Linked DNA regions of Canis lupus familiaris. The protein of the gene in region 2 purifies or fractionates together with the protein of the main gene of each other region. This does not show direct contact. Links are inferred from orthologs where the notes say so. Each region holds a gene or a part of one and is shown on either strand. Other genes may lie near its edges.

The links.
Region 1: the proteins of LRRK2 (region 2) and DNM1L purify together in Homo sapiens (co-immunoprecipitation; 6 studies listed by BioGRID and IntAct, with this or other methods). This does not show direct contact. The link is inferred for Canis lupus familiaris from reciprocal best matches to the Homo sapiens genes LRRK2 and DNM1L.
Region 3: the proteins of LRRK2 (region 2) and MYO1B purify together in Homo sapiens (affinity purification with mass spectrometry; 3 studies listed by BioGRID and IntAct, with this or other methods). This does not show direct contact. The link is inferred for Canis lupus familiaris from reciprocal best matches to the Homo sapiens genes LRRK2 and MYO1B.
Region 4: the proteins of LRRK2 (region 2) and SLC25A6 purify together in Homo sapiens (co-immunoprecipitation; 3 studies listed by IntAct, with this or other methods). This does not show direct contact. The link is inferred for Canis lupus familiaris from reciprocal best matches to the Homo sapiens genes LRRK2 and SLC25A6.
Region 5: the proteins of LRRK2 (region 2) and SLC25A11 purify together in Homo sapiens (co-immunoprecipitation; 3 studies listed by IntAct, with this or other methods). This does not show direct contact. The link is inferred for Canis lupus familiaris from reciprocal best matches to the Homo sapiens genes LRRK2 and SLC25A11.
Region 6: the proteins of LRRK2 (region 2) and PRDX3 purify together in Homo sapiens (co-immunoprecipitation; 3 studies listed by BioGRID and IntAct, with this or other methods). This does not show direct contact. The link is inferred for Canis lupus familiaris from reciprocal best matches to the Homo sapiens genes LRRK2 and PRDX3.
Region 7: the proteins of LRRK2 (region 2) and MYO1C purify together in Homo sapiens (affinity purification with mass spectrometry; 3 studies listed by BioGRID and IntAct, with this or other methods). This does not show direct contact. The link is inferred for Canis lupus familiaris from reciprocal best matches to the Homo sapiens genes LRRK2 and MYO1C.

Annotation. Positions count from the first base shown.
Region 1 is NC_049248.1:30,406,259-30,409,692, forward strand, and holds part of DNM1L (dynamin-1-like protein), read left to right. Parts: intron 1-556; coding exon 557-613; intron 614-1,517; coding exon 1,518-1,595; intron 1,596-1,598; exon of another isoform or gene 1,599-1,914; coding exon 1,915-1,947; exon of another isoform or gene 1,948-3,434. UniProt on the Homo sapiens protein: Functions in mitochondrial and peroxisomal division.
Region 2 is NC_049248.1:33,158,482-33,162,459, forward strand, and holds the start of LRRK2 (leucine-rich repeat serine/threonine-protein kinase 2), read left to right. Parts: upstream 1-1,178; 5' UTR 1,179-1,280; coding exon 1,281-1,434; intron 1,435-1,688; coding exon 1,689-1,774; intron 1,775-3,978. UniProt on the Homo sapiens protein: Serine/threonine-protein kinase which phosphorylates a broad range of proteins involved in multiple processes such as neuronal plasticity, innate immunity, autophagy, and vesicle trafficking.
Region 3 is NC_049258.1:1,637,215-1,641,471, forward strand, and holds the start of MYO1B (unconventional myosin-Ib), read left to right. Parts: upstream 1-1,457; 5' UTR 1,458-1,576; intron 1,577-4,033; exon of another isoform or gene 4,034-4,195; intron 4,196-4,257. UniProt on the Homo sapiens protein: Motor protein that may participate in process critical to neuronal development and function such as cell migration, neurite outgrowth and vesicular transport.
Region 4 is NC_049260.1:869,270-873,501, forward strand, and holds the start of SLC25A6 (ADP/ATP translocase 3), read right to left. Parts: upstream 2,801-4,232; 5' UTR 2,672-2,800; coding exon 2,561-2,671; intron 1,592-2,560; coding exon 1,105-1,591; intron 514-1,104; coding exon 373-513; intron 1-372. UniProt on the Homo sapiens protein: ADP:ATP antiporter that mediates import of ADP into the mitochondrial matrix for ATP synthesis, and export of ATP out to fuel the cell.
Region 5 is NC_049226.1:31,882,071-31,886,227, reverse strand, and holds SLC25A11 (mitochondrial 2-oxoglutarate/malate carrier protein), read right to left. Parts: upstream 2,801-4,157; 5' UTR 2,680-2,800; coding exon 2,585-2,679; intron 1,972-2,584; coding exon 1,819-1,971; intron 1,734-1,818; coding exon 1,527-1,733; intron 1,360-1,526; coding exon 1,269-1,359; intron 1,176-1,268; coding exon 1,085-1,175; intron 999-1,084; coding exon 899-998; intron 818-898; coding exon 766-817; intron 646-765; coding exon 490-645; 3' UTR 44-489; downstream 1-43. Other genes in the region: E3 ubiquitin-protein ligase RNF167, read left to right, coding at 2,975-3,019, 3,324-3,834, 3,967-4,047. UniProt on the Homo sapiens protein: Catalyzes the transport of 2-oxoglutarate (alpha-oxoglutarate) across the inner mitochondrial membrane in an electroneutral exchange for malate.
Region 6 is NC_049249.1:29,700,318-29,704,324, reverse strand, and holds the start of PRDX3 (thioredoxin-dependent peroxide reductase, mitochondrial), read left to right. Parts: upstream 1-1,207; 5' UTR 1,208-1,233; coding exon 1,234-1,269; intron 1,270-2,817; coding exon 2,818-2,953; intron 2,954-4,007. UniProt on the Homo sapiens protein: Thiol-specific peroxidase that catalyzes the reduction of hydrogen peroxide and organic hydroperoxides to water and alcohols, respectively. Plays a role in cell protection against oxidative stress by detoxifying peroxides.
Region 7 is NC_049230.1:45,590,846-45,594,345, reverse strand, and holds part of MYO1C (unconventional myosin-Ic), read left to right. Parts: intron 1-323; coding exon 324-503; intron 504-583; coding exon 584-682; intron 683-888; coding exon 889-1,002; intron 1,003-1,090; coding exon 1,091-1,162; intron 1,163-1,445; coding exon 1,446-1,565; intron 1,566-1,655; coding exon 1,656-1,738; intron 1,739-1,921; coding exon 1,922-2,027; intron 2,028-2,143; coding exon 2,144-2,224; intron 2,225-2,485; coding exon 2,486-2,577; intron 2,578-3,500.

The DNA.
Region 1 (3,434 bases), about 2.8 Mb from region 2:
TGTTAAATTAGGTTTTTCTCTACTTTTATTCTGGGAGAGTTTAGAATAAAGGAAATGGAACATCCTGAAAGGATAACCTCTACCACAGTATTCAGGGTTTTGTGGGTGGGAATTGTGTGAATTTAACACAGAGGTGTGCAGGGTAGAGTGATTTTTAAAGGCTTACGTTTTCTGTCATTTGTGCGCTTAGAAGATTCCGCATGGTGTGCTGAAGGCTTATGCACACGTTTATGTGGGGACAGCTGAAACCATGGACGCCTAGTGGGAAAGGCAGAGATGTCGGCCCATTGCCCCTCAATTGAGAATCCCTGGTACAGGGAGCCACTATAACTGACGTTATATTGTATCCTTCAGGTGTGTTGGGCAGAAAAAAAGATTGAGAAGCATTGGGTTAAATGATTTGTTTGTTTTAAAATAAAATTGTGGCATGAGTCCCAACAGTGAGAGGATATACTGTAAGTTATCCACACTTTTCAATTCAGCTGAACATTTTTTAGTAGGCTTCCATCTCAGTGCTCTGATAATCACTTTGGTTTGGTTTGGTTGTGTTTTATAGGAACAAAGGAGAAACAGGCTAGCAAGAGAATTACCTTCAGCTGTATCACGAGACAAGGTAAAAAAAACAGTATTTTAAAAGTATATTCCCAATATGCAAAGGATTGATTGGTAAGCCTTAATACTACTCAGTTCTAGGAATAGTCTTTTCTTCGTCTCCCTTTACTATTTCATTGGAACTGTTTCATTGTTTGGGTGAAGATATGCAAGTTTATTTAAAAATAGGTTGAAGTAAAAGATAATGGTATCTTGAAAACATTAGAAAAAATGCTTAAAGGTGAATTTTAAATACCAAGCTTTTATTTATTTTTTAAAAAGATTTATTTTAGAAGAGAGTGACAGTGCACACAAGAGAGGGGGAGCGGGATCAAGGAAGAATGAGAGAGAGAATCTCAAGCAAACTCCAGGCTGAGAAGAGCCCAACACGCGGCTCCATCTCAAGACCCCCAGATCATGACCTGAACTGAAACTGGGAGTAGTCAGAGGCTTAACCAGCTGAGCCACCCAGGCACCCCAAAATATTGAGCTTTTGAAACAAAGCTTATGGTGACTTTATCAACTTTGTAAAATTAGTTGAAATGACTTTACTATAACAAGGCATTTTGGAGAGAAGATAATGTGCACATAATAGGTTTTGGTTTTCTGTAACAGTTGCATAGATTAAAATGTGTGTATACAAATGTGTTATCTTGAATTCTTTACCAGAAAAGATCTTACCAGATTCCAAAAATAAAAATGAAGTTTTTGAATTTGGATTTTTCTTAGATATTCATCTGAAGGTTTTTTAACGAAGGTGACAATAAGAAATACGAATAAGCCATAATTTTCTATCCCATAATTACTTTTATTTCTCATGTTACTTTACTATTTTGATACAGAGAGGAAAAATTTACATTTATAGAACGTTTCTGAATGCACTTTTGGCATCCTTGATTTTCTTTCCCTGCATTTTTTGCCTTTAGTCTTATAAAGTTCCAAGTGCTTTGGCACCTGCCTCCCAGGAGCCCTCCCCTGCTGCTTCTGCTGAGGCTGATGGCAAGGTCTGTTCTGATTCTTAATCTAAGCCTGCATGCCTAGTTGTTTGGTGCAACATAATCATCTGGAGACACCACACTGTACAGTAATAGCAGAACATTAATGTGGGATATTGTGCTAAGGTTAAATCATTTCATTCTAATAGGAATCTTAAATTATATAACAGCGTATACTTTATAAATTATTGTTGACATGCCTTTGCTTGTAATAAAGATGCACACAAAAATAATTTAAAGAGGAAATTATCCTGCACTTTTGAAATTCAGGCTATTGGTATTTAAATTTTGCTTGTTAAACTGCATGTTTTAACATATCTTTTAACAGTTAATTCAGGACAGCAGAAGAGAAACTAAAAATGTGAGTCTCTTGCTTCAGAATGGAAATGTACCTTTGGTTCTCATTGAAACACTGTCTTCAAAACCATTGGAGAAGCTGTTTGTACCATAGCATCTGCTCCTTGTCTGTGTTCCATTTTTTGTTTCTCTTACCTAACTAACCCTTCTAAGATGGCATTAGTTCTAGTTTTAACATTTCCTTAAATAACAACTACAGGCTTTCTCCTAGTTTTGATTTTAATATTGTGGTAGGGAATTGAGATTCCAGAGATGAAAGTTAATACTTTTGAACATTTCCTCTTTAAAGGCTCTGAGCTCTGTCCAGTACTAATGGATAACCCTCTCCTGCTTTCTTGTGCTTCCATGCGGTTTGCCTTGTCACCCTAAACACGTAGCTTAACATGTGCCTTGGCAGCTTAAGCAAATTCAAAACAGGGACTGCGAGCGCTTGAGACTGTCAATTTTTGATCATCTTTTTTTGGGGAAAATGAAATCATCAATGACTCATTCAGACCCATCCTTATTTCTGGTTTTTCTGTCTTTGGCTCCTTTCCTCACTTAATTGTCCAGATGTAAGGTTCTGAACCTCAAAAGTTTATAAAGGTCTTACCTTCTCTCAGCCCACTGTGCTGAGGATTTATTGCTTTAAGTTTTATTTCACTCCTAGCATTAATCATTCACTGGTGTTTAAAGATACAGTTACTCATTTTAACATTAGTGTATAAATATACTGCCTGTATTGAGCTATGGCATATCTTAACTAGCATATTTGAGGCAATCTGGGCCAGTATTTTGATTCAGAATGATACCCCAAACTGACTTTTGGAAAAATTAAACAGTGATATTACCCCCAAAAGGCTAGTTAACCATTCATCACCCTATAATTGACCCCCAGGTTCTTTTTGTTTTGAAAGCTGATTTTTTTTTTTAACAATTGCCATAACACTCTGTAATATCTTTTTAAGGAGCATCTAAAACTATTCTTAAATGTTGATGAGTTACTGTTTTTTCCATTATCCTAAACATTCTTTCTTGTATAAACTAACAGCTATCCTAGAAAAGAAGCTGCAAAAGTACTTGTGATTACTAGATTTCTTTCCACATTTTAGGCAGCTTCAAAGTCACTGCCAGCCTAAGAATTGTGAGTGTATTCTTGTTTTATTAGTTTTATTCTATGGTATTTTGTTGACCAGTAAAGATGTAAGCCAACTTAGAAAACTCTGGAGAGATCATACATAGTTCAATAATGTGTGAGATTACTTTGAAAAAATTAGGCTAAATGGCAGCTGTTTTTCCTTGTGCTTTTAATAAGTACTCTTGTTTTTAAGGGCAGTTTATGCTTTTCCCACAATCTGCTGTTAGAGGGGTTGGAGAAGAGGAAGAATATTAAAGTTAGCAAACGATAAAGAAAAATTAAATCTGTTGGCTGAGGCTTGCAAAGAAATGACAACAAAACCTCTTGTTTATGATAGCTCAGGGTTCCAGTTATAGATGCCACCTACCATCTTT
Region 2 (3,978 bases):
CTACGGAGCGCAAACTCAAATTTCCAAAAGTTAATTTTAGTGAACTTTTGGCCAACGGAGCTTTACGATAAATAACTGAGGGGGCGGGAGGAATGGGTGGCTGGGTGGGAAGGGATTTGCTCCCCTACAAAAAGCCACAGCAACCACAGGAAAAAAAAAAAAAAAAAAAAAAAAAAAAAAGAGCCTTCAGCCGGGCACATTTTGATTGCAGAAATCCCTCTCCATCCCTGGTGGGAAATTATTCATTTCCCTATAGGGGGAACTCTAAAGAACATGTTCTCCTAAAAGGGGCCAACTGGGCGGTGCCCTCCTTTCCCGACGCCCAGATTTCTATTCTTAGATCTGGAGATAGGCGGCGGCTTTCATTTTTTAGGTTTCCTAGCGGGCGGCCCCTCCGCGGCGCTCAAGGAGCGGGGCCCGGGGCGCGGCAGGGGCGGCGGGAGGGGGCGGGGGCGCGGCGGGAGGGGGCGGGGGCGGGGGCGGGGGCGGCGGGCCCGGGCCTGGGGCTCCGTTTCCTCCCGCGCGACTCCCGGCCGCGCCGCCGCGGGGAGCAGGAGCGGGTCCCGGGAGGCGGCGCTCTCCGGGTCGGGGACCGGGGCCACCCGGCCGGGCCCAGCCCCAGCCGCACGCGCCCTCCCTCGGCCGAGCCTCCGCAGGCCGCTGAGCTCCTCTTTGCGGCCCTGGTGGGGGAGGAGGCAGCCGGGGAGGAGGGCTGCGGCGAGCGAGGGCGGCGCGGGGCGCGGGGCGCGGGGCCTTCCTCCCCGAGCGGCGGGCGTGGGCGCGGACGGGGCGGGCGGGGAGCGCAGGCTGCGGCGCTGAGCTGTGCTCGTGCCCGCGAGCGGCGGCGGAGCCCCGGGCCCGGGTCCTAACCCCGGGTCCTAACCCTGGGCCCTACCCCGAGCCCTAACCCCGAGCCCTAACTCCGGTCCCTAACCCCGCCCCCTACCCCCCCCCCCACCTCCCCGGCCCCTGCCCCAGGCCCTGCCCCAGCCCTAACCCCGGGCTCTAACCCCGGGCTCTAACCCCGAGCCCTAACCCCGGGCTCTAACCCCGGGCTCTAACCCCGAGCCCTAACCCTGGGCTCTAACCCCGGGTGCTAACCCCGGGCTCTAACCCCCCGCTCTAACCCCGAGCCCCAACCCCGGGCTCTAACCCGAGCCCTAACCCCCGGCTCTAGGCTCTAACCCCGAGCCCTAACCCCCGGCTCTAACCCCCGCCCCTATCCCGGCCCCAGCCGCCGGCCTCCGCGAGGGAGGGACCCGCGTGGAGCAGAGTCCGTCATGGCCAGTGGCAGCTGTCAGGGCTGCGAGGAGGAGGACGAGGAAACTCTGAAGAAGTTGATAGTCAGGCTGAACAATGTCCAGGAAGGAAAACAGATAGAGACCCTGGTCCAAATCCTGGAGGATATGCTGGTGTTCACGTACGCCGACCACGGTAATGAGTCGCAAGGAAACTCTCTCCTCCGCTCCCCTCCCGCCTCTTTTTTGCAAACTTTCTCCCTCGCGTTTTTCCGAGTTGCACAAACCTGGGCTCGTGAGAAGCCACAGACTGTCAACTCCTTAGGGCAGAAAGGAGCTGAGAATTGTAGGGAGGTCTTGCGCTCACTTCTTTTGCTTTCTCCCCCTGTTTCATCCCCTGTGCGTGGATGGTGACTTTGCTTCTTTTTCCCTCACCCCCTTCTCTTCCAGCCTCCAAGTTATTTCAAGGCAAAAAAGTCCACGTGCCTGTGTTGATCGTCTTGGACTTGTATATGAGAGTCGCTAGTGTGCAGCAGGTAAAGGAGTTGTTTTCATGTCACCCGTTCTCCTTTCTGTCTGGAAATAGATGTTTTTCTGTCAATATTATACACCCAAAAGTTCTGGGTTAATTCTGGCATTTGGCTTCTCAAACCACTGACTGTGATTTGAAGAAGGAAGCGATACAAGTCATGGTCAAATGTTACTGATGTGAAAGGGCCCGCTAAGAGCTCCCTAATTGTTTTGGAGAAGTAGGTTTATACAACTGACCTACAAAATATGGTTGGTGGTGGGTAGGAAATAATCAGAAGTTGAAATTTACTTCTGTGATTGGCTAGATGAGTTCACCAGTATCAGCATTTAATCAAATTATTCTAAGAATCTTACCAAGAACAGCATGTTCTAGAGATGACACCGCTGTGAACAGTTAGGGAAAGGAGAATAATTAGCCACTAAAAAATTAATGATGATTAAATTAATAAAATGAAGTAACTGGCAAATTCTCATAGGTTTAAGCTTTGTTTCTTTCTTTTTTAAATTTGAGAACAGATTTCTGGCCTTTAATTGTAGTGTGCATTGTGTTATCTAAAGAAAGCGATGTCTTAGCATCCTCCTGTAAGTTTATATTTGTATTTTTCAACTCTTTTCATATAAACTGAATATAAAAGTGAGACTTAAAATCAGTACCACAGGAAACACAAAAATTTGTTAAATGCCTTCAATATATTAAAAAAAATGAAGATGATAATTGAGGATGATTTACAGTCAAAACAAATGATTGGCTAACATATTGACTTCCTTTGTAGAATTTGAGATTTAGAGAACTGAAATCAGGCACTTGCATGTTGTTGGGTCCTGAAGAGAAAGAGAATTGAACTTTGAACTCTGTCAAGGTGTAGTCAGAAAGCCAGTGTTTCTTAATATTTACTGGAGAGGCTAGACGCAAGTAGGAATTATCTGGATCTCTAAATCTGTATCTACCTTTATCTTTATGTTCATTCATCTCTGTATCCAGCTATGTCTAGTCTGGGTGAACCATATTCCTAGCTTCTTTTAAATGAGGACATTTACATTTGGGATAAATGGTTATTTTAAATTTTCTTCAACTGAAACATCTCCCATCTGACTATTGATTTTCAAGTTGTTAGCAAACAAAATCATGAAAAGATGGGAGGCGTGATAGAGACACTGTTCGTTTTAGCATCCAGTGCCTGAATTTTGCCCATGAAATATGAGTCACATTTTAGAGCTGGCCCATTGTGCTTGCTGCTTCCCTCCCACATCATCCCTTCTCACTTGCCTCTGCTTTGGTGTTCAGAAGTGCCTTGTCTGGCAGCTTCTATTCCTTGGCTTCCGTGCATGGTATAGAGGATCTTCCTGTTGGGTGCCACTCAGAACCCGCGGGACCTTTGGAGGGCTTGCTGTGCAGGGTCCAGAGAGGCAGTGCTAAACTTGAGAATCCAGGGGAGGCTGGAACAGACCCACCCACCACTTCATTCTTTGTTTTAGAAGCTATCCACACCTGGACATGTTTGCATGGAGTGGCTCTGAATGCCACTTAATACCTCGTCCAGTGGGTACCGGAGACAAAGTATGCAAGAAAATAAGGAATTGTCTTTTGATTTGGTTACTTAATGGAATAGAATTATTCATTTCCCCACCATGTATTAGTCTGCAAAAGGCATGTTATCCCATCATTTAATTCTCACTGGAATCACACTGCTCTCTCAGAAATCTCACTGGACATTTTTACCTTTACATTTTACCAGAGCTAAGTACCACATTGCTAATGACAGAGCCAGGACTCAAGTCTTCACATACCTTCAGAATCTCTTTTCACTATACGTTCTGAATTCACAAGCTTTTCGTGCAAGTAAGAAGTACAGTGATTTGTTACAAATACTGTGGCCTTGCTAGGCACAATTACATTATCAGTTTTAATTATCATTGGTCTTATCAAGGGAATATAGAAAGGGGTCACTTTACCAATATTTTAATACTCCACTTAAAGTGGTTTTTTTTTCTTCAGATTTCTTCATATTTGTGGTGTAATATATATATATATATATATATATATATATATACACACACACACATACACACACACACATCCTTTAATGCTTTATATGTTGAGTTAGTTGGAAGTGCTGAATTAAAACTTCTGAATGATGAATTGAAGAAGGTAAGGTAAATTTAAAAGTAAATATTAATGTTTCTTTCCAGAATTCATTTAATGTGATAT
Region 3 (4,257 bases), on a different chromosome or scaffold from region 2:
CGCACAGCCCATCACGGGTCCTTCCCCACCGGCCACTGATGCGCTGTTCTCAGATGCACGGGGGGGATTTGAAATCTCTTTCAAATCTTTTCTGTTTTCTGCAGCAGAGAATTGGCCGGTGTCTACTCGGCAGGATGTGAGATGTTGAAAGTCTCGTAGGGAAAAGTATACTTGGCTGCTCCGCTCCGTCTTTTCTCTTTCCGATGAAACCACGTTGTTGGGTAGCCCGAGATTTTGACCTAGGCCCGCGGGCTCGGCAGCTGTTGCCGCCCCCTGCTCTCCCCCCACCCCTAGCCCCTGCTCCCCCCCTCCCGTGTCACCCCCCTGCCCCCCCTCATGCCCCCGCCCCCTTGCTCCCCCCAGCCTCCCCTGCTCCCCCACCCCATCACCCCTGCTCCCCCCATGCTCCCCCCACCCCTACCCCCCTGCTCTCCCCATCACCCCCTTCCCCCCTCATGCCCCCGCCCCCTTTGCTCCCCCCCAGCCTCCCCTGCTCCCCTGCCCCATCACCTCTGCTCAACACCCCCGCCCCCCTGCTCCCTCCCCACCCGTCACCCCCTGCCCCTCGCCCCCCCCCGTCACGCCCCGCCCCCATTCCGCCGCCCCCCCTGCTCCCTCTACCTTGTTACCCCCTGCTTCCCCCTACACCCCCGCCCCCTGCTCCCCCCCATCACCTCCTGCTCCCTCCTGCTCCCCTGCCCACCCCCCTGCCCCCTCTGCTCCTTCCCCGCCCCCTGCTCCTCCCTACCCCCCTGTTCCCCTCGCCCCCTACCTCCCTGCTCCCCCCTTAGACCCCCTCCCTCCGCTGCTGCCTCCTGCCGCCCCTGCTCCCTCCTCGCCCGTCACCCCCTGCCCACCCCCCGCTCCCCCCTGCCCCTCTGCTCCCCCTGCTCCCCTGCTCCCCCTACCCCCTGCTCTCCTGCTCCTCCCACACACCCCCACTCCCCTTGCCTTCCGTCCCCCTTGCTCCCCCGCTCCTTGCCCTCCCTGCTCCCCCCCCCCCGCCACCCCTGCTCCCCCCTGCCCCTCTGCTCCCCCACCCCCTGCTCCCCCTACCCCCCTGCTCCCCCTGCCCCCGTCTCCCATGCCCCCATGCCCCCCTGCTCCTCCGCCCCTACCCTCCCTGCTCCCCCCGCCCCGCCCCCCCAGCACCCCCCAGCACCCCCAGCACCTGGAGCCGCAGCCGGGGGCCGGGCGGCAGGTGGGAGGCAGGCCGCGCCCCCCCACCCCGACGTGCGCGCCCCTGGGTCCCGGGCGGGGCTCCCGGCGCTCGGTCGCGGGGGGGCGCTGTGCGGCCGGCGGGGCGCGGGCGGGGGCGGGGGCGGCGGCGCGGGGCTGCGGGCGCGGCGGGGCGAATCCCAGGCGGCGAGGTCGGCGCCCCCGCCCCTCGGCCCACCCCTCGCCCCGGACAGGGGAGGGGCCGCCGCCGCCGCCGCCCCGCTCGCCGCGCCCCGGGCTCCGCGCACTCGGGCACTCGGGACCCGCAGGACGGCGGGCGGCCGGGTCGGAGCGGCGGCCGCGGAGCCGGGGAGCGGGGAGCCCGCAGGCCGGGCCCGGAGCGCGACCACCGCCCCAGGTAGCGCGAGCGCCTTCCCCGCGGCGGCCCGGGCGGGGGCGGGGGGTTGTGCGCGGGGCGGGGGGCGCGGGCGCGGGGTCCCAGGCGCTCTCCTCCTCCGGCCCCGGTGTCGCGGTCCCCAGCTCGCGCGGACCTCGGCCCCCTGCCCCGGGGCGGGCGCGGGGAGAACAATGGGGCGTCCGGGCAGCGGGCTTCAGGCGCGGCGTGCCCCGGCGGCGACCGCGCGGGGCCCCTTTGTTCCGCCGCGGCGGGGGGGCTGCCCCGGGGCTCGCTGCCGCCCGGGACGGGCCGCCCCTGGGTGCGCGGGGCGGGGGGGGGGGGGGCCCGGGGCGGGCGGCGGGGGAGCAGCGAGGGGAGCACGGGGGAGCGCCAGGGGGGCACCGGGGAGCAGCGGGGAGCACGGGGGAGCTCCAGGGGGGCACTGGGGAGCAGCGGGGAGCACGGGGGAGCTCCAGGGGGGCACCGGGGAGCAGCGGGGAGCACGGGGGAGCATGGGGGAGCTCCAGGGAGGCAGCGGGGAGCACGGGGGAGCTCCAGGGGGGCACTGGGAGCTCTAGGGGGACACTGGGGAGCACTGGGGAGCTTCAGGGGGCGCACCGGGGAGCACTGGGGGGCGCACCGGGGGGGGGGAGGCGGGGGAGCAGCGAGGAGCACCGGGGAGCTCCAGGGGGCCACCGGGGAACACTGGGGGGCGCACCGGGGGTCGGCGGAGGTGCACCGGGAGCAGCGAGGAGCACCGGGGAGCTCTGGGGGGCACCGGGGAGTACTGGGGAGCTCCAGGGGGCGCACCGGGGAGCACTGGGGGGCGCACCGGGGGGCGGCGGGGGAGCAGCGGGGAGCAGCGGGGAGCTCCAGGGGGCGCACTGGGAGCCCCGAGTAGCACCGAAGGGCGGCCGGGGGCGCCGGGGGCGGGGGAGGGCGTCCCGCACGCGGCGCCTGGGCCGGGTCCGGGGCTCCGCGGCTGGTCGGCGGCGCTTTGTTCCGCGGCGGCCGAGCGCGTCCCCGCCCCCCCCGCGGCTCCCGGCGCCCCTTCGCCCCAGCCCGCCCGAGCTGCGCGGAGCCGAGGGCGTCGCGGGTCGGGGCGAGGGTGGCCGCGTCCGGGTCCGGGGCAGCCGCGCACGGATCGGTTCGGCGCAGAGGGGGCGGCGCCGTGACGCAGCGCAGCAGAGCCCGGGAAGGTTTGGGGGCGCCGCCACGGTGCACCCGGTGCACCCCCTCCCTACCCGGGGCCCGCGATGCGCGCCCCCGACCCCCGGGCTGTGAGCGGAGCACCACCCCCACCCCAGGGTGGGCCGCCGGGGGCACGGAGGGAGCCGCCTCCGGATGCTCAGAGGGGTCCCGGCCTCCCTGTACACGCAGCGCCGTGCACACCTGTTGGGGGGCCCTGCTCCAGGTGGGCATGAGGGGCACACCTGTTGGGGAGCATCAAGGAGGCCGGGGAGGGGGTGCAGGTGGACCTGGAGAGGGAGCCGGGGCATTGGATGATGGGTGTCCTCCAGTGGGGTGCTCCCGGCTGACTGTTGGCAGGCCCCAGACACTTCCAGGCACTCCGGGTCCCTGCCTGTGGGACCCTGGTGGCCGAAGGATCCCCCAGCGGCGGAGGTTAGGACCCCGCGGTGGTAGCCCGGGAGACCGGGCTGCAGGTGGGCCGGCAGGTGCCCCAAGGACCCACGGGGTGTGACCCCCCCACACCCCGCCTTCACGGGGACAACCAAGTTCGAAAGCCTCTTAAGCTGAGAAGGGGAGTGGGAAGCTCACCCCCGGGAGGGAAGGAACACTTGCTGCCCACGGAGCATCCCACGGCATGGGAAAGGGTTGTAGGGGCGGGATGCGGGCCTCCTCAGGCCAGGCTGGGGGGCTGGGGGCTTGTCCTCCGGAGCCGGTGGCCGGGAAGCCGAGGTGGCCGCAGCCAAGCAGCAGGCGGTGTGCCGTCACAACCCACACCGCCCGGCGGCGCACCCGGGGGACAGGGAGCCTCTGTCCCCCTTGTTGCGTTGCCACTTTGGAGCTGTGGGCTGCTTTGTGGGGTACGGCACAGCGGGGCCCCCCAAGTACTCGTGGAACCTACAAGAACAGCAGCAGGCCTGAGACGGTGGTCACTGCCGCGGGAGCCACGGGGCACGGGCTCCCCCGTGGGTTGTCTGGCCAGAGGCTCTCCCCAGGGGTGTCCCGCCGTGTGGGGGGCTACTGGCTGCACCCCCTTCCTGGGTTGCAGTGAATCACCACTCTGTCAGGCCTGGTGTTCAGACTCCCCCTCCCAGGTCGCTGCACAGTTAGGTAAAGCGAGGAGGAGCCTCGGACCTCAGCGGGGAAGGAGTGGGGTGCAGGGCAGGAGCAGCGTGTCCTCTGTGTCCTCCCTATCCTGAGTGTGAGGTCCTGTGAGGTCCGGGTTTTTAGCATTCGGCCCCCTTTTGGGTGACATTCGCCCCTCTTCCCCCCGCCTTGTATTTTTAACAGCTTGGTGTTTGGGTTTTCGTTACGTACGTAGCCCACCGGTAGTCGTGTTCACGGTGTGGAACGGGTGTTGCGTGCATCACACCCTGCTGAGGACCCCACAGCCCGCTGCAGCCCCGGAGCTCACCGGCCTGCCCCTTAGGGCCCTACTCCTATAGGGAACCGGTAAGTGCCGGAGGTCAAATTTGAACTCCCATGTCTGGTTCGAAGTCCATATGCCTGTAAAT
Region 4 (4,232 bases), on a different chromosome or scaffold from region 2:
TCCCAGGGAAAAATGAGGCTCTGCACACCAACAGCTCCAGGTCTTGGCCGCTGCTCAGCCCACTGCTGTGGCTATAACCAAAACACCCAAATTGCAGCCCCGTGTCCACTCCTGGGATCAGTGCAAGGTCCCGGGCCAGCGTAGAGAAGACCAAAGCACGGGCAGCACCAAGGGCCCGGGCAGGTACCCGGCAGGGCTGCAGGGTTCTAGCGCCCCTGGATCAACAGTTACGGTCTCAAACCCTGTGAAGAACCTCATCTGTTAGCCCCGCTTCCCATGGCCTGAGGCCACCAAAGGGCCCGTCATTCCAGGAGCTCTTGTATCTCTCATCTCCGAGGACAAGTCCCGGTCACCAGGACCGAGACAACGTACCTCCTTTGCGCCCGGACTGCATCATCATCCGCCGCCGCACGGTGTCGAAGGGGTAGGAGACCACGCCGGCCACGGCCGTCACAGTCTGGGCGATCATCCAGCTCACCACAATGTGCGTGTTCTTGGGGTCTGGGAGCATGCCTGCGGGGTCACCAGCCAGCGTTAGGTTCCAGTGCCACACACACAGCGGGGCAAGAGCAGTACTGCCTGCCCTGGTGCCACGTGGAGCCCCCGCGACCAGGGAACGGCATGGAACCACCCGCAGGGCATAGAGCGGTCCCTGAGGCCCACGCTTAGTGCCTGGGAACGAACGGGCTCTCTCTACAGAGAGGGACAGGCGAGCCTGGTAAGTGCATGTACCACACAAGAGGCGGTTCTGCTGCACAGACACTAGCTTTCAGGGTGTGAACGGCACACCCTAATGTTCACGCTGAAAACCCCGGATACCTAAAAATAACTGCCTTTAAAAAACAGTGTAAAGCGTCTTCAGAGGAGACCCTAATCCAACACCATCAACACCCTGTAAAAAATCTAAACTCAGACGCACAGAAGAGGCCCACGTGAGGACACACGGACAAAACTGCCATCTACACACCGAGGAGACGCCACGAACGCCAGCAACCCCGTGGACGTGTGGATGTCAGACTTCCCACCCTGCAGAGTGCGGCTCTGCCAACAGCGGATCCCGGAGCCCCCGCCGCACGTGCAGCCCCACAGCAAGAACACACGTACCCTTGGCCGTGTCGTAGACGCCGAAGTAGGCCGCCCGGTAGATGATGATGCCCTGCACGGACACGTTGAAGCCCTGGTAGAGGCCCCGGATGCCGTCGGACTTGGTGATCTTCACCAGGCAGTCTCCAAGGCCCTTGAACTCCCGCTCGGTGCCCGACTTGCCGACGTCAGCCGCCAGACGGGTTCTGGCGAAATCCAGCGGGTACACGAAGCAGAGGGAGGTGGCGCCCGCGGCCCCGCCTGATGCCAGGTTGCCGGCAAAGTACCTCCAGAACTGCGTGTGCTTGTCCACGCCCCCCAGGAAGATCTGCTTATACTTATCCTTGAACGCAAAGTTGAGGGCCTGCGTGGGGAAGTAGCGGATCACGTTGGCCAGGTTGCCCCTCCAGAAGGACAGCACGCCCTGCTCCTTGGGGATGCGCACGATGCAGTCCACGATGCCCTTATACTGCTTGTCGGCGGCGATCTGCTTGCTGGCGTGCTGCACCTGCGAGATAGACGGGCGGACAGGCTCGTTAGAGGGCCCGCACGCAGTACCAGCCAGCGTCCCTAGGGTAGGCGAGTCCCTGGAGGGGAATTCCTGCATGTGAGCACGGTAGCTCCACGGGAGAGCTCATATCCCGGGGGGGCCTATGCCTGCAAGTGGAACCGCTCAACCGTGCACGGGAGGAGCGCACTGGGTCGACAGGATGGGGCACAGCCCAGGACACCACCGGTCAACCCAGCACCGGAGGGCACTCATCCCGGGAGGCGCGTCCCTGCAAGTCGGAACCGCTCATCCGTGCACGGGAGGAGCGCACTGGGTCGACAGGACCGGGCACACCCAGGACACTGGTCCCTGCAAGTCCGCACCGCTCATCCGTGCACGGGAGCGTGCACTGGCTCGACAGGACGGGGCACAGCCCAGGACACTGGTCCCCGCAGGTCCGCACGGGTCAACCGACAATGTTCCCACTGCCCCACCCGCAACAACGTTGCCAAGGACGCGCTGCAACAATGTTGCCAAGGAGGCGCTGCAACAATGTTGCCGCCAGCTGGCCGCGGGCGCAACGACTTCCCAGCGGAGCGCCGCGGCTCGCCGCCTCTCAGGCCGGAACGGGGCGGAGCAAAGTCCCGGCCTCCATCACAGGGGGCGCTCGCGGGGCTCCCGCGGTCCGCTCGGCCTCGACGGTGGGAACCGCGGGGGCGAGGCCCGCGCTCCGGGCGCCCGAGAGCTCTGCCCCAGCGCGCACGCGCGGAGAGCGCCACGTGACGCGCGGCCGGCCCGGCCCCGGAAGCGGGCGGCGCGCGGACAAAGCGGCGCGGCCTCGCACTTCCGGCGGCCGCGGGTCCCGGTGCACGCGGCCGGCCCGCCCCGCTGTCACCCCCCACCGCGAGCCCTCGCAGCACGCCCGGACCCCCCCCCCCCGACGGGACCGCCGTCCCGGGTCCCCGAGCGCGCACGCGCCGTGCGCACCTGCAGCAGCAGCTTGACCCGCTCGATCGGGGCCACGGCCGTCTTGGAGATGGCGGCGGCGATGCCTCCGGCTAGGAAGTCCTTGGCGAACGAGATGGCCTGCTCCGTCATGGCGGCGGGCGGGCGGGCGGCGGACGGCGGAGTGCGGGCGCGGACAGCCGGACGGACGGGCGAACCGAGGGAGGGAGGGAGGGAGGGAGGGCGCCGCTGGCTCCGCGCTGCCGCCGCCGGGACCGAAAGGACGGGGCGCCCAGCGCGCAGCCGCTAAGGGCCCGAAGCCCCGCCCCGCGCCCCCGCCCGCCGCGCCCATTGGCCGCGCCGCCCGCCGACGCCCCGCCCCTTCCCGCGCGCCGCGCCCCCGCGGGCTGCCGGGAGCCGCAGCGCGCCCCGCCCCGTGCCCGCCCGCGCCGCGCCCATTGGCTGCGCTGCTGCCGTTGCCCCGCCCCTTCCCGCGCGCCGGGCCCCGAGGCATGCCGGGAGCGGGACCCCGCCCATGCGCCGTGCGGCCCGAGGGCTCGGCCGCCGCCGTGACCTTGTGAAGGTCGCCGCGGGCCCTGGGCGCTCCCGGCGGGGGGAGGGGGCGGCGGCGGCGGCGGGTCCGCGAGCTCGGGCTCCTTCCAGCCGCTGGCCCCCCGGGCGCGCCCAGCACCGCGACCCTGACCCTGCGCGACCCGTCCCCCGACCGCGACCCCTTGGCCCCGTGTGCTGACCCCGAGGTCACGTCGCGGCCCCGGGCTCCTCTGGAAGACCCCAAGGTCAGCTCGAAGACCGCAAGGTCAGGTCGCCTGCCACCTGCACTTCCCCCCTCCAAAAGCCCACAGTCCCCACGACTGGCCGCCCGACCCGTCCTCACTCCAGCGCCCCGCCCACTGGCCCATGCGGACGCCCCAGACCAACCCCAGCGAGCCCAAGCCTGGGCCCCCCCAAGACCCCCGCGCCCTCATGTGGGGGTGCTGCAGCCCGCATGGATGGGTGACTCGCGGCGGCGCTCGCTGCACGGGGCCATGCTGAGCCGGCCACGCATGCACCTGTGCATTCGTGCACCTGCACACACACGGGGCACCTGCGCACGCAGAAGGCACCTGCACACGCACACGCAGACGGCACCTGTGCACACGCAGACGGCACCTGCACACACGCGTGCACCTGCACACAGAGGGCACCTGCACACGCACACGCACTTGTGCATTCGTGCACCTGCACACACACAGGGCACCTGCGCACACTCAGAAGGCACCTGCACACGCACATGCACCTGTGTGTCCAGCTGCACACGCAGACGGCACCTGTGCACACGCAGAAGGCACCTGCACATACGCGTGCACCTGCACACGCAGACGGCACCTGTGCACACGCAGAAGGCACCTGCACACACACGTGCACCTGCACACACACATGCACACACACCCCGGGCACCCCCAGGAGGGAAGCTCAAGCCCGGACACGGTGTCCTGCGGAACGTTCCATTGACCTTGAACCTCTTACTGGATTGTAACCGAGCGAGCGATCCGAGTGGAAGGTGTGTCGCTCGGAGTGGAAGGTGTGTCGCTCGCTGGCTTGGCCGCAGCGGGACTCCAGCTCCGGGAGGCGCCCTCAGGGCTCCGCCCGACTGGCTTTAGGCCTCCCTGTCTCTCTTCCTGTCTCTCTCCTGTCCCTGCCTCCGCTTCCGTCC
Region 5 (4,157 bases), on a different chromosome or scaffold from region 2:
AGCCTCCTCCCCTCCCACCCCCACAACTATCCAGATCTGGGGGGTGGTGTCATCAATCCAATTTATTGATCATGTCCTCGGTGAGGTGGAGGAAGGGTCACGTCCTTCCACTGCAGACCTTGACCATCCTGACGGCTTCTACTGTCTCCTGTCCCTTGGCCCTGCCTTGGTTTACCAAGAAGGGGGGGGGTCTCTGCCATCCTACATGCCCTGAAACTAACACCCCAGAGGAGGCCTGGAAACCTGCAGAGTTTCCCAACTTTCCCCCACCCAAGGCACAGCCAGGGGCAGAGAGGTCATGAGGATCAGGACCAGGAGAGCAAGGCGGAGCAGGGATAGGACAGACCAAGTCCTTTACGGCAGAGGACAGAACCACACTGTGGAGGGAAAATAAATAGAGGGGCCCAGGGTGGCAGAGTCCAGGCCCCCGGGTGAGAGTAGCGGGTAAGCAGAAGCCCCAGCACACCGGCTCCAGGCCCCTTGCCCGCCTCAGCCGCTGAGGAAGAGACGCTTGTAGGCCTTGTTCATCTGTTCCAGGAAGATGAAGGTGAGGACGGTGTGAGGGCCCAGGCGGGCATAGTACGGTGTAAAGCCCTTCCACAGGCTGAAGAAGCCCTCATAGCGGACAACCTTCACCAGCACGTCCTAAACAGGCAGGCAGGCAGGGCGCTGGAACCAGGATCTGGCTTCTAGGGCTGTATCCCTATACCCATGGCCCTCCCCACCCTCCTGCCCCAGCCCCCGGCCCCGCCTCTGCCTCCTCACCAGCCCATTCTTGTATTCTGGTTTCCCGTCAATCATTCTCATATTCTGGATCCTAGAGAAGAGGACACAGAGGTATGAGAAACATAAAGCAGGTCCTCCCATTCTGCTCCAGGACCAAGCCTGCACAACTCACCGGGTCTTGACAATGTCCACGGGCATGGAGGCAGCAGTGGTGACCAAGCCACTGATCATGCTGGCACAGAAGTGGCACAGGATGTTGTCAGAGAAGTAGCCTGGGGGAGGCGAGGCAGGGGTGACAGTCAGTGCGGAGCTGGCCCGGGGCAAGGCCGGGGGCTGAGGGCCCAGCTCTGGGTCTCACCTGAGTCCAGTAAGAACTGCTTGGATTGGGAGTAGGAGGCGAGCTGAGCTGCATTGACCACAACAGCACGAGCCATGGTAGGGATGCAGCCCTGTGGGGAGCGGGGACGGGGGTGAGGTTGTGGTGTCAGAAATGGCTGAAACCTGCCCCCTCCTGATCCCCAGTCTCCATCCCCTTCACTCACCCTCCATAATGTGGGGACTCCCTCCTCCCGGGCGATTCGGATCAGGGCATTAAACACATTTTTGTAGCCACGGCGCTGGTCAGGTGGAAGCCTAGTGGGAAGGTGGGGAGAGGCCAAGCTCAGGATACACCACTCTGCCCCACAGGAGCAAAGAAAGGGAGGCCAGGACACATTAGTGCTCTGCTCCAGACCAAGAAATCCATTCTGAGTCTAGATTCCAGGGAACAGAGCTAGGGCAGGCTCAGACCTGGAACTCACCGGCCGTCGGCAGTCATGCGGATGAGTGCCACCTCAGCTGGCGTTCCCACAAAGGCACCAGTTGCACCTGCCGTCATGCCAATCAGGGCCTTCAGCAGAAAGCCAGGGGGTGTACCATCAGCCCCCGTCAGGCGCTCAAACAGCACCGTATAGATGCCAAGGCGGGTGGTGGTGTAGGTGGCCTGGCGCAGCAGGCCAGCTGACAGCCTGGGGAGCGAAGGGGTCAGTGCATCAGGCCCAGGTCTGGAGTTGCCAACCCATACCCTACGCCCCCATCTTGTGGCCCCAGTACCCAGTGTAAATGCCCCTCAGCCCTTCTGCCCTCAGGATGCTGGTGAGGGCATGGAAGCTAGTTTTGTACTCTCGTGTCTTGGCTCCCTCTCCGCTCAGCTGCATCCGGTTCTTCACCAGATCCAGCGGTTGCACAAACACCGTAGCTCCCATCCTGGAAGAAGACAGAAGCAGGGTCAAAAGCCAGGTGTCCCTTGACTACCGTCCTATGCCCACTGGAACCTAGCAACGAGATGTCACAAGGTACAGGGCCTGCCACGTGATTAATTAAGTGTTCAGGAGGCTAGTGGCTATGTGTGTAAGTCTCTGCGTGGACCAACAGCCACAGGTCTGAAAAGTCCAGCAGTCCAGCGAGGGCCATACAGTGAAAGTGTTCCACGGAGTTCCAAGGGGGTCAAGTGGTGACCTGAAACTGCCTGCAGTCCCACCCAGAGAGAGGAGAGGGGGCACTCATGACCTGCGGCTTCGCCCAGTCCGACAGGTACCATGCAATGACCTGGAACCGCACACGATCCGGGAGAGCCAAGCAGTGGGTGCGAAACTCCAGAGAAGGCCGGGGGGCCAAGCAAGGAGGCTGCGAGCAAGGAGGGTGCACGCAGCCCAGCGGGGGCCGTGCATTGGGTGAGAAGTCCTGGCAGCCATCAAGAACCTCGGCAACGCGCTGGGGACCGCGCTGACCCCGTGCCGCACACCCGAATCCCAAGCGGGCCCGACTCCTTGCAACCGGCCCTTCCTCCTCCCTTCCCGGCCCCGGGGCCCGAGCTTACCCTGCCAGGCCCCCAAATAGGAACTTGACGGACTTAGGGGAGGTGCGGGGCTTCCCGTCCACCCCGCCGGCCCCAGGACTCGCCGTCGCCGCCATCGCCGCTCAGTGGCCCTCGGCGCCGGGTCCTGTGCGCGCGCGGTCCCACTCGCGCCCAAGGTGACACCGCGCGCGCAACAGGGCCGAGGGCGCGCGCACGCCCCTCCGGCTCTCGGGTCCAGCTCCAGCTGGAAGCCGGCGCAGGCGCAGGCGCGCGGCGCAAAGGCGGCCGGGAGAAAGGCGGAGCCGAAGGCGGGGCCTCCAGGAGGGGAGCGGGAAGGGGTGTGGCCGGCTCAGGAAGCCATAGCTTAGACGCAGTTTTCACGAGATTGGACTCGCGGGAAAATAAGAGGGTATGGAGATCTCGCGAGACAGAGTGCGCCTGGGAAGCCAGAGCGAGGTGTGGAGGTTGGCCTGGGTATGGGGTGGGGAAAGAGGGTGTCTCTCGCGATAGCACGCAGCGAGCATTCGGAGGGTGGGAGGGAAAGTGTGGCGAGGACTCTCGCGAGACTGGAAGGTACCGCGGCCGCGGCGGCGGCGGCGGGCCCGGGATGGTGGAGAGGTTCGTAAATCGGACCGCTCCGAGATCCCGGGCGTCAGAGGGGGAACGACTAGGTCGTCTGCTGGGGCTTGGGCGCTCGCTGCATCTGCAGAGGCACGCCCTCCACCCACCCTCCCTCCACTCCCAACCTTTCCTTTGACAGGCCTTTCAGGACCGGAAGTCCTTCCTCTTGAGCGCCCAATGCCGGAGGCGGCCTGACTTTCTTTCCCGGAAGCCCTTTTCCAGCCGCGAGGAAGACAGTTCACCTGCCCGGAAGTCCCGCCTCTCGGGGCGTCCCCACCCTGCCAGAAGTTCTCCTGTCACCTGTGCCGGCTTCCGGGCCCCCTTCCCGGGTTTGTCCCTGCGCCCGCGGAGGATCTGTTTGGTGTCTCCCTCCCTGCTCCACGGGCCGGGCTGGGGACCCCGCTCCCGGACCCAGGGTTCGACCCCCGCGCCCCCATGTAGCTGGGAAGCGGGGCCTGGGGGTGGTCGGACCCCTGGGATTCTGAAGGGGGACGGAGAGGGCGCGGAACCCCGCTTGTGCCGCTGCTGCCGGGACGCGGCGTCCTCGGGATCCCCCCGTCGCTGCCATGCGCCCCGCGGCCTTCCCGCTTCCTGTGGTCGTGGCCGCCGTGCTGTGGGGAGCGTCCCCCGCGCGGGCGCTCATCAGAGCGGTGAGTCTGGGGACCTGTGCGCGAGGGGACGCCGGGGGCGGGGCTGCAGGGGTGTCGTCCCCCGCGCGGGGAGGGGGCGCCGGAGGGCGGGGCTGCAGGCTCCTGGGGGAACACGGGCTCTCCTGTCCGCAGACCTCCGACCACAATGCCAGCATGGACTTTGCAGACCTGCCAGCTCTCTTTGGGGCTGCCCTGAGCCAGGAGGGACTTCAGGTGATTGCTTTCCCTTTGACCCTTTTCCCTACATCCTCTCTTGTGGGCGGGGAAGGGGATTAGGGCAGCCCTTTGCCCTCGCAGTGTAGGAAGTACAGGTGCAGGAGCGC
Region 6 (4,007 bases), on a different chromosome or scaffold from region 2:
TAGCTTCTAAGGCAGTCCATTCCAAAGCATGGGGCTGGTACCCACTGCAGTACTAGTGGTGCATACAAGTGCATTTATGTGAGGAGCAAAATAAATAACATTAAGGCCCAAAGTGAAAAAATTATTACCCTTTTAATGTTCTTTAAATTCTTCCTATAACATAAAGAGAACCCCATGTGATACCAGGATGTTGCTAGCCATCTCTCCGTTTCCCTTTTTACAAAGTCTCAGATTTTCAGCAGGCAACTGTACCTACTTGATACTTAATAACATTTTGTTTTAATGTGTTTATTTTAATTACTTTCTATGCATAGCAAGTTATAAGGTTTTCCATTTAAGTTATTTAACATATTCTTTCAAATAAATTCATTTACGTTTTTCAAAATTGAGTCAACTTAAAGAAAATAGTAAATAATATGCAGATGATATGCAGATTCAAGAAACTATGTTGGTAGTGGAATGACTGATATCCGGAAAATACCTACTTAGAATCTGCATTTACCGAAAAGCCAACGTGTGATTTTTATCTGTGTTTGATGAGCTTGCTTCAAAGTACCATGATCACCACTGAGCACTTAGCTTTCTAATTGACAGAAAATAGAATTTAAATGTATCCCAGTTCTTCCAGTTTTGGGAAGAGAGGCCAATGGAAGTCCAGACAGCATCCCAAAAGTTTTCAGAACCCAAAAACTTGATGTGTCTGGCCCACTTGGCTTATTAACGGACAAAAATTGCATTAAAATTAATTCCGTTTCCTGCAGAATCCAGAAGGCTCTACCGAGGCCATTTGCAGGACGGGTAGAAACAGTTATCCACACAGGTTAGCCATATAAAGCAGAAGCTCCCCACCTGGATTAGTCCTTTTTAGGATGGGGCGACACTTAGAAGTAAGGTATTGTTTTCCTGAGCATTCCTTTACTTAGAAGCCGCGACGGGAATTTTCTCCTAGAATTTTCTCTTCGGAATTGGGGCTGAGGCACTTGACAGGTGAGTTGACCCAAGTAAGGTCCAAACAAAAAGGTGGGGAAGTAAGTCATCTTTCCCGCCCGGACTCCAGCCCCGCCCCCCAGCTCGGGCCCGGCCCCGCCCCCCGCTCGGGCCCCGCCCCCGCCTGGGCCTGGCCCCGCCCCCGCCGGAGGCCCCACCCCGGGCCCGCCCCCACAAGCCCCGCCCCCCACAAGCCCCGCCCCCTCCGCGTGCCCGCCAGTCCCGCGAATCCCGCGCGCACTGAAGATGGCGGCCGCGGTGGGAAGGTTCCTCCGGGCTTCGGTGAGTGCCTGCCGGCGGGGGACAGGCGCGGAGACACAACAGTGGCTCCGAGGACGTGCTTCCCACATAGGATCCTGCTCCCTGCGGCCGGGGGCGCCTTTCGCCCTGCTTGGAGGGCGCCAGCGGGTAACGGCCCCGGAGGCCTCGGCCGTAGGGAGTGCGCCTGCGCAGAACCGTCCCCCGCCCCGTTCCCGTCCGCTCCTCCAGCCCCTCCTCGCTCCGAGTCGAGGGTCCGCAGCCCTCCGTGCCCCTGAGCACCTCGCCCGGGAGGCAGGCGCCCTGGCCCCCGTTCCCTTTTCTGTAGCTACTCTGTGACCTTGGACACGTGACTTCCCCTTTCGGAACCTCGGTTTAGTGTCCTCGCCTTAAGGTAGAAAGAGCGATGCCAACATCAGGGCGTTGCAGCGAGTATCTACCAAATGGTGGATGGAAACCAAAGTGCTGAAGTACGGAGTGCTAAGGTGCAAAAGGCACTTTGCGCTTTGGCATTCCTCCCATCCCCTAGGTCTGTCCCCCTCCTCCCGGCAAAGCCTAGTACCCTTTTGGTAGCCCCCCTCCCCCTTCTCCTTGGCTTGGTTGAACTGCAAGGCTCTTCTTCCCTGAGTCATGCTAGACGCGATAGTTGAGCAAAAAAATAATCCCCTTGAGGCCTGTTCAAAATTTCCCAGAGTGTGAACTTTGCTCTACTTGTTTGCTTGTCTGTGGGGGCTTGGCCTTTTCTGGGAAAACCTTGACATGATAGAACATGCTTATTAGCAGGTCATGCTGGTAAAGGGCGTAAATACGCAGGGCCTGGCCAAGTCCCCTTGGTTTTTGAATCCTCTGTGTTCTTAAGAGCGTGGAGACTTTATCGTCTTATAATTCCCCTCTGCTTTGCAGGGTTTTTAAGAATTATGTATATATTTTAAAAATAAAAGTTATGTATATTTAAGATGTACGACAAGATGATTTGTATACATATACATAATGAAATGATTACTATAGACCAGCATCTCTTCACATAATTACCGTTTCTTGTGCTTGATGAGTGATGAGTGTGCCTGAAATCTACTCTCTTAGCAAATTCCGAGCACCCCGGGTGGCTCAGCGGTTTAGCGCCTCGTTCAGCCCAGGGCCTGATCCTGGAGTCCCGGGATCGAGTCCCATGTCAGGCTCCCTGCATGGCGGCTGCTTCTCCCTCTGCTTCTCTCTCTCTCTGTCTCTCATGAATAAGTAAATTAAAAAAAAAAAAATCTTAGCAAATTCCTAGTGTTCAGTACAGTATTAAGTATAGTCATCATTACCCTACATTAGATCTCTAGACTAATTCAGCCTACATAACTGCAACTTTGTACCCTTTGACCAGCATCTCCCCATCCCCCTCTTGCAGTCTTGAGAAAGAAGGAAGCGGAAAGGAATGTTAAAGAACATTGAGATTCATTCTACACTGTTAAGGGGTTTGGTGTTTAGTTCACAGGAACAAGGATTGGTGAGGCCCAATGGCCTGGTGCTCTTTCAGCCGGGCCAGCCTTCAGGCTACTTTCTAATATAAAGTGTTTCTCTTTCCAGATTGCCCGACATGTGAGTGCTATTCCATGGGGCATCTCTGCCTCCGCAGCCCTTAGACCTGCTGCTTCCAGAAGAACATGCCTGACAAATGTATTGTGGTCTGGTTCTGGTCAAGCAAAATTCGCTTTTAGCACCAGTAAGTATTATGCCTTGGTTTGGCCCAGGCAGTATGAATCATCTCGCGCCATGGGCTCTGAAGCCTGGCTATGCATTAGACTCGGTTGGGGAGCTTTGGAAACTATACCACTACCCCAGTCCCACCCCTGACAAATTAAGTCAGTATCTGAGGTGAGACCAGGACATCATTTTGGTTTTTTGGTTTTTTAATCAGAATGTAGTTGTCATAATATTGGTTTCAGATGTACAGCATAGTGATTCAAGATTTATATACGTTAGGTGGTGATGACAATGATAAATCTAGCTGCCATCTGTCACCATACAAAGTTGCTATGGTATTATTAACTATTCATTGTGCTGTCCGTCCCCACCCCACCCCCCCGTCCATCTTTCTGTAACTGGAAGTTCATATCTTTTAATTCCTTTATTAGTATATTCTAAAAGTTCACCGAATAATTCTAATGTCCAGTCAGGATTGAGAATTACCGAGGCACACTGCTCTTGTGTCACATTTCCTTGTTGGTCACCAGAGGTTTTTATGTTCTGTGTTGAGGAACACATAGGTTGGGGGAGTGGGGGGACTCAGATGCTTCCTGGGCCCTGTGTGTGAGGGGACATGAGATAATTGGCAGTGGCTGACAGTCTGTTAGAACCAAGGCTTTTAGATTCAGACCTGGCCATGTTAGAGCATGGATTCCTCCATTATCTGGTATTTCTTGAGATTTACACTGCATTTTCTAGAATGTGGGCTTTGCTAAGATCAGCCTCAGATAATGAGTGGTACTTGAAAATACCTCCTTTAGATTTGTCCCACACACCCCCCCCTTTTTTTTTTTTAAGATTTAGTTATTTGACAGAAAGAGAACACAAGTAGGGGGAGCTGCAGGCAGAGAGGGAGAAGCAGACTCCCCACTGAGTAGGGAGCCCTATGTGGGACTCAGTTCCAGGACTCTGGGACCATGACCTGAGCCGAAGGCAGATGCTTAACCTACTGAACCACTTTAGCAAAGCCTTCGTTTGTGGGCAAAACGTTCTGAAAAGTTTCACAGTTCCACAACCCTGGAGCTTTAAAA
Region 7 (3,500 bases), on a different chromosome or scaffold from region 2:
ACTGCATAGCATGAGGGGCAGAGTGACCAATGGCCAACATGGGAAGAGGGGAGCTCATCTGAGGAGGGGGATACCAGGAGTTCAGTTCCAGGCCTGTTGGTGTGAGCTGCCTGTCAGACAGCCAAGGGGAACAGCCAGGTAGATAGGGCTGCATACACTCATTTCTTAGATGAGGATGTTGAGGCCGAAAGGGGTGACTTGTCTGAGTCCATGCAGCTAGTGGCAGCACTGGAAATAGAGGCCAGGAATGCAGAGGAAGGAGTGGAAGCTGGGCCACATCCCCAGGCCCCCTGAGCCATCACCATGTCCTGCGCTGCCCACAGGGTGCTCCCGTGGGTGGCCACATCCTCAGTTACCTCCTGGAAAAGTCCCGAGTGGTGCACCAGAACCACGGGGAGAGAAACTTCCACGTCTTCTACCAGCTGCTGGAAGGGGGCGAGGAGGAGATGCTGCGCAGGCTGGGCTTAGAGCGGAACCCCCAGAGTTACCTGTACCTGGTGAAGGTGAGTAGCAAGTGGGCAGGGCAGACACCGCCCAGGGAGCACAGCACCAGGGCTGGTAACCCACCCTGCCCTTCACCCAGGGCCAGTGTGCCAAAGTCTCCTCCATCAATGACAAGAGTGACTGGAAGGTCGTCAGGAAGGCTCTGACAGTCATTGACTTCACTGAAGATGAAATTGAGGTGAGACCTATGCTGGGGTCCCTTCCTGCCCTCCCTCTACACCCTGAAAATCTCAGTCTCCTTTTATAGCCCATGGCCACTTACAGCCCCCTTGTCTCAGACACTCCCCTACCTCTAACCTGTTCCATCTGACTGGTCACTGGTGGCCCTTATGGGCTGTCTGCTCCTCCTGTGACACGCCCCCCACCCTCTCCCTGTTCACCCAGGACCTGCTCAGTATCGTGGCTAGCGTCCTGCACTTGGGCAATATCCACTTTGCTGCTGATGAGGAGAGCAATGCACAGGTCACCACCGAGAACCAGCTCAAGTATCTGACCAGGGTGAGTGGACTGAGCAAAGGGCAGGGGCAGAGCAGGCGGGGTGAGGAGGAGCGCACCCTCTCCATGCCCACCCCTCCTCCCTTGGCAGCTTCTTGGCGTAGAAGGCTCAACGTTGCGGGAAGCCCTGACACACAGGAAAATTATCGCCAAGGGAGAAGAGGTGAGGCCAAGCCTTTGTCTCAGGAGGTAGGGGTTGAAGGGTGCAGGTGTTCCAAGGCCTCTTTCTGGGACTCCCACCTCCGGGAATGAGGCCTCTTGTCCCTGTGCCATCTTCCCTCTGATGTGGCCACCGTGGCCTTCCCCAGTGTATCCCCAGTGTATCCTTCCCGGGAGCCGGGAGGATAGCATGGTCATGGTTTTCTGGTGTTTGGCCCTGAGCCCATAGAGCAGGGGGATGGAAAGGAGTCTGTGGCATTCTTCTCCTGTCTCACCCTGGCCGGCAGCTCCTGAGCCCACTGAACCTGGAACAGGCTGCGTATGTGCGAGACGCCCTCGCCAAGGCTGTGTATAGTCGTACTTTTACCTGGCTGGTCAGGAAGATCAACAGGTCGCTGGCCTCCAAGGTGAGGGCTTGGCCGGTGCTGCTTCCGAAGCAACAGGGAGGCCTGGGGCTGGGAACTATCACACACCAGGACCCATGCTCTTGGCCCTAGGATGCCGAGAGCCCCAGCTGGCGGAGCACCACAGTCCTTGGGCTTCTGGACATTTATGGCTTTGAAGTATTTCAGCACAACAGGTCAGCATCCCTTCCCCCTGTCTGTCTCTCCTCCCATCTGCCCTGTCCTGGTCCCCACCTCCCCCTGCCTCGTGTTCCTGACAATGCCCCCAGCCACCTTGAGTCCTGCTCTGTGTGTCTCTCCCCTGCTCCTGGTTCTGTGTACCCCTTGAACTACTGTGGGCTCTTCTGTTTCCCTCACAGCTTCGAGCAGTTCTGCATCAATTACTGCAATGAGAAGCTGCAGCAACTCTTCATCGAGCTCACCCTCAAGTCGGAACAGGAGGAATATGAGGCAGAGGGCATCGCGGTGGGTGCAAGCCTGCAGGTGTCCCTGTGGACACCCTGTAGGAAGCCAGGCATGGGGTCTCCTAGAAGAGGTGCTAGGACCCCATGATGATGCCTTCCTTCCCTTTTGTCTCTCAGTGGGAGCCTGTCCAATATTTCAACAATAAGATCATCTGTGACCTGGTGGAGGAGAAGTTCAAGGGCATCATCTCCATTTTGGTGAGCCCTCTGCTCCTCCAAGGCCTCATGTTGGAGGCTGAGTGGGAGGATGTTACTCCCTTCCTGTAGGCATGTCCACAGAGGGCCCAAGTTTGGTGTTGAGCAGGGACAGGGCAGGGCTGTGCGTCCCTAAAGGGAGGTGTTGGCCTGGTCTGGAAGTTGTCTGTGGGAGGCTCCCTACGATCTGCCCCATTCCCTGGGCCTCCTGAGCCCTCCAGCTCCTTCCCTGATACACCCCTCACCTTCTGTCACACACCCCAGGATGAGGAATGTTTGCGCCCTGGGGAGGCCACGGATCTGACCTTCCTGGAGAAGTTGGAGGACACAATCAAGCACCATCCGCACTTCCTGACGTAAGTGGGGTTGCAGCGCAGCGTAGGGGCAAAGCCCATGAAGCATGAGATCCCCCTACAATCGTAAAACACCAGCCACAGGGAGATGACCAGGGGAGGTGTCAGTTGAGGATGGGCGCACAAAGCTGCAGCTTGCGGTGCATCCACAGAGTAAGAAGCTAAGAGGAGTGTGGCTCCCTTTTTATTCTTGCCTGAGAATGAAACTTGCTAAGATCTTTTAGTTTCCTTGTGTGGAAGTTGGTTTTTCTTTAAGAAATCCCCTAAAGTGAGAAGGAGAAGAAAACAAGCACCTCTGCCACAGCTCTGGCCTGCTTCTTTTGTTCCCATCGCCTCCTCTAACCCGAAGCAACCCTATAAGGAGGTGTTCGTGGTGCTTTCTCCACTTTCCTGAGGCTCCAAGAGGTGAAGTCATTGCCCAAGGTTATCGGATACTTAGTAGGCTGCAGAGCTAGGACTTAGGCCTGGAGCTGTTAAATGCCAAAGCCCTGAGCATTTTTGGCTTCATGGTATCTTAAAAACCTTCTCCGATTGCAAAAATAATATTGCTCATTAGAGAAAAGTTGGAATGTGTGCAAAAGCCACTTGTTATCCTGTCACCCAGAGGTCATCACTGTTAACAATTTGAGGCATTTCCTTCCTGCCTTTTTCTATATGTTGGGTTATTTTTTTTTATATAGTTGAGAACTTGTTGTGTATAAGGTTCAGAATAATGTTATATCCTGAGCATTTTCCTGTATCATCAAACACAAAAATTTCCTCAAAACACTTCCTCCAGTGCCTCTAACTCACAGATACTCCACTGCTCTCACCCAGCCTCTGGGGGCCCCGGCCAGCCTCCATATTTTTCTGCTGGGTAACAAGGCTGCCACAAATACCTTTGTGCCTTAAAACTCTGCCTATATTTCTGGTTAGTTGCTTGGAAT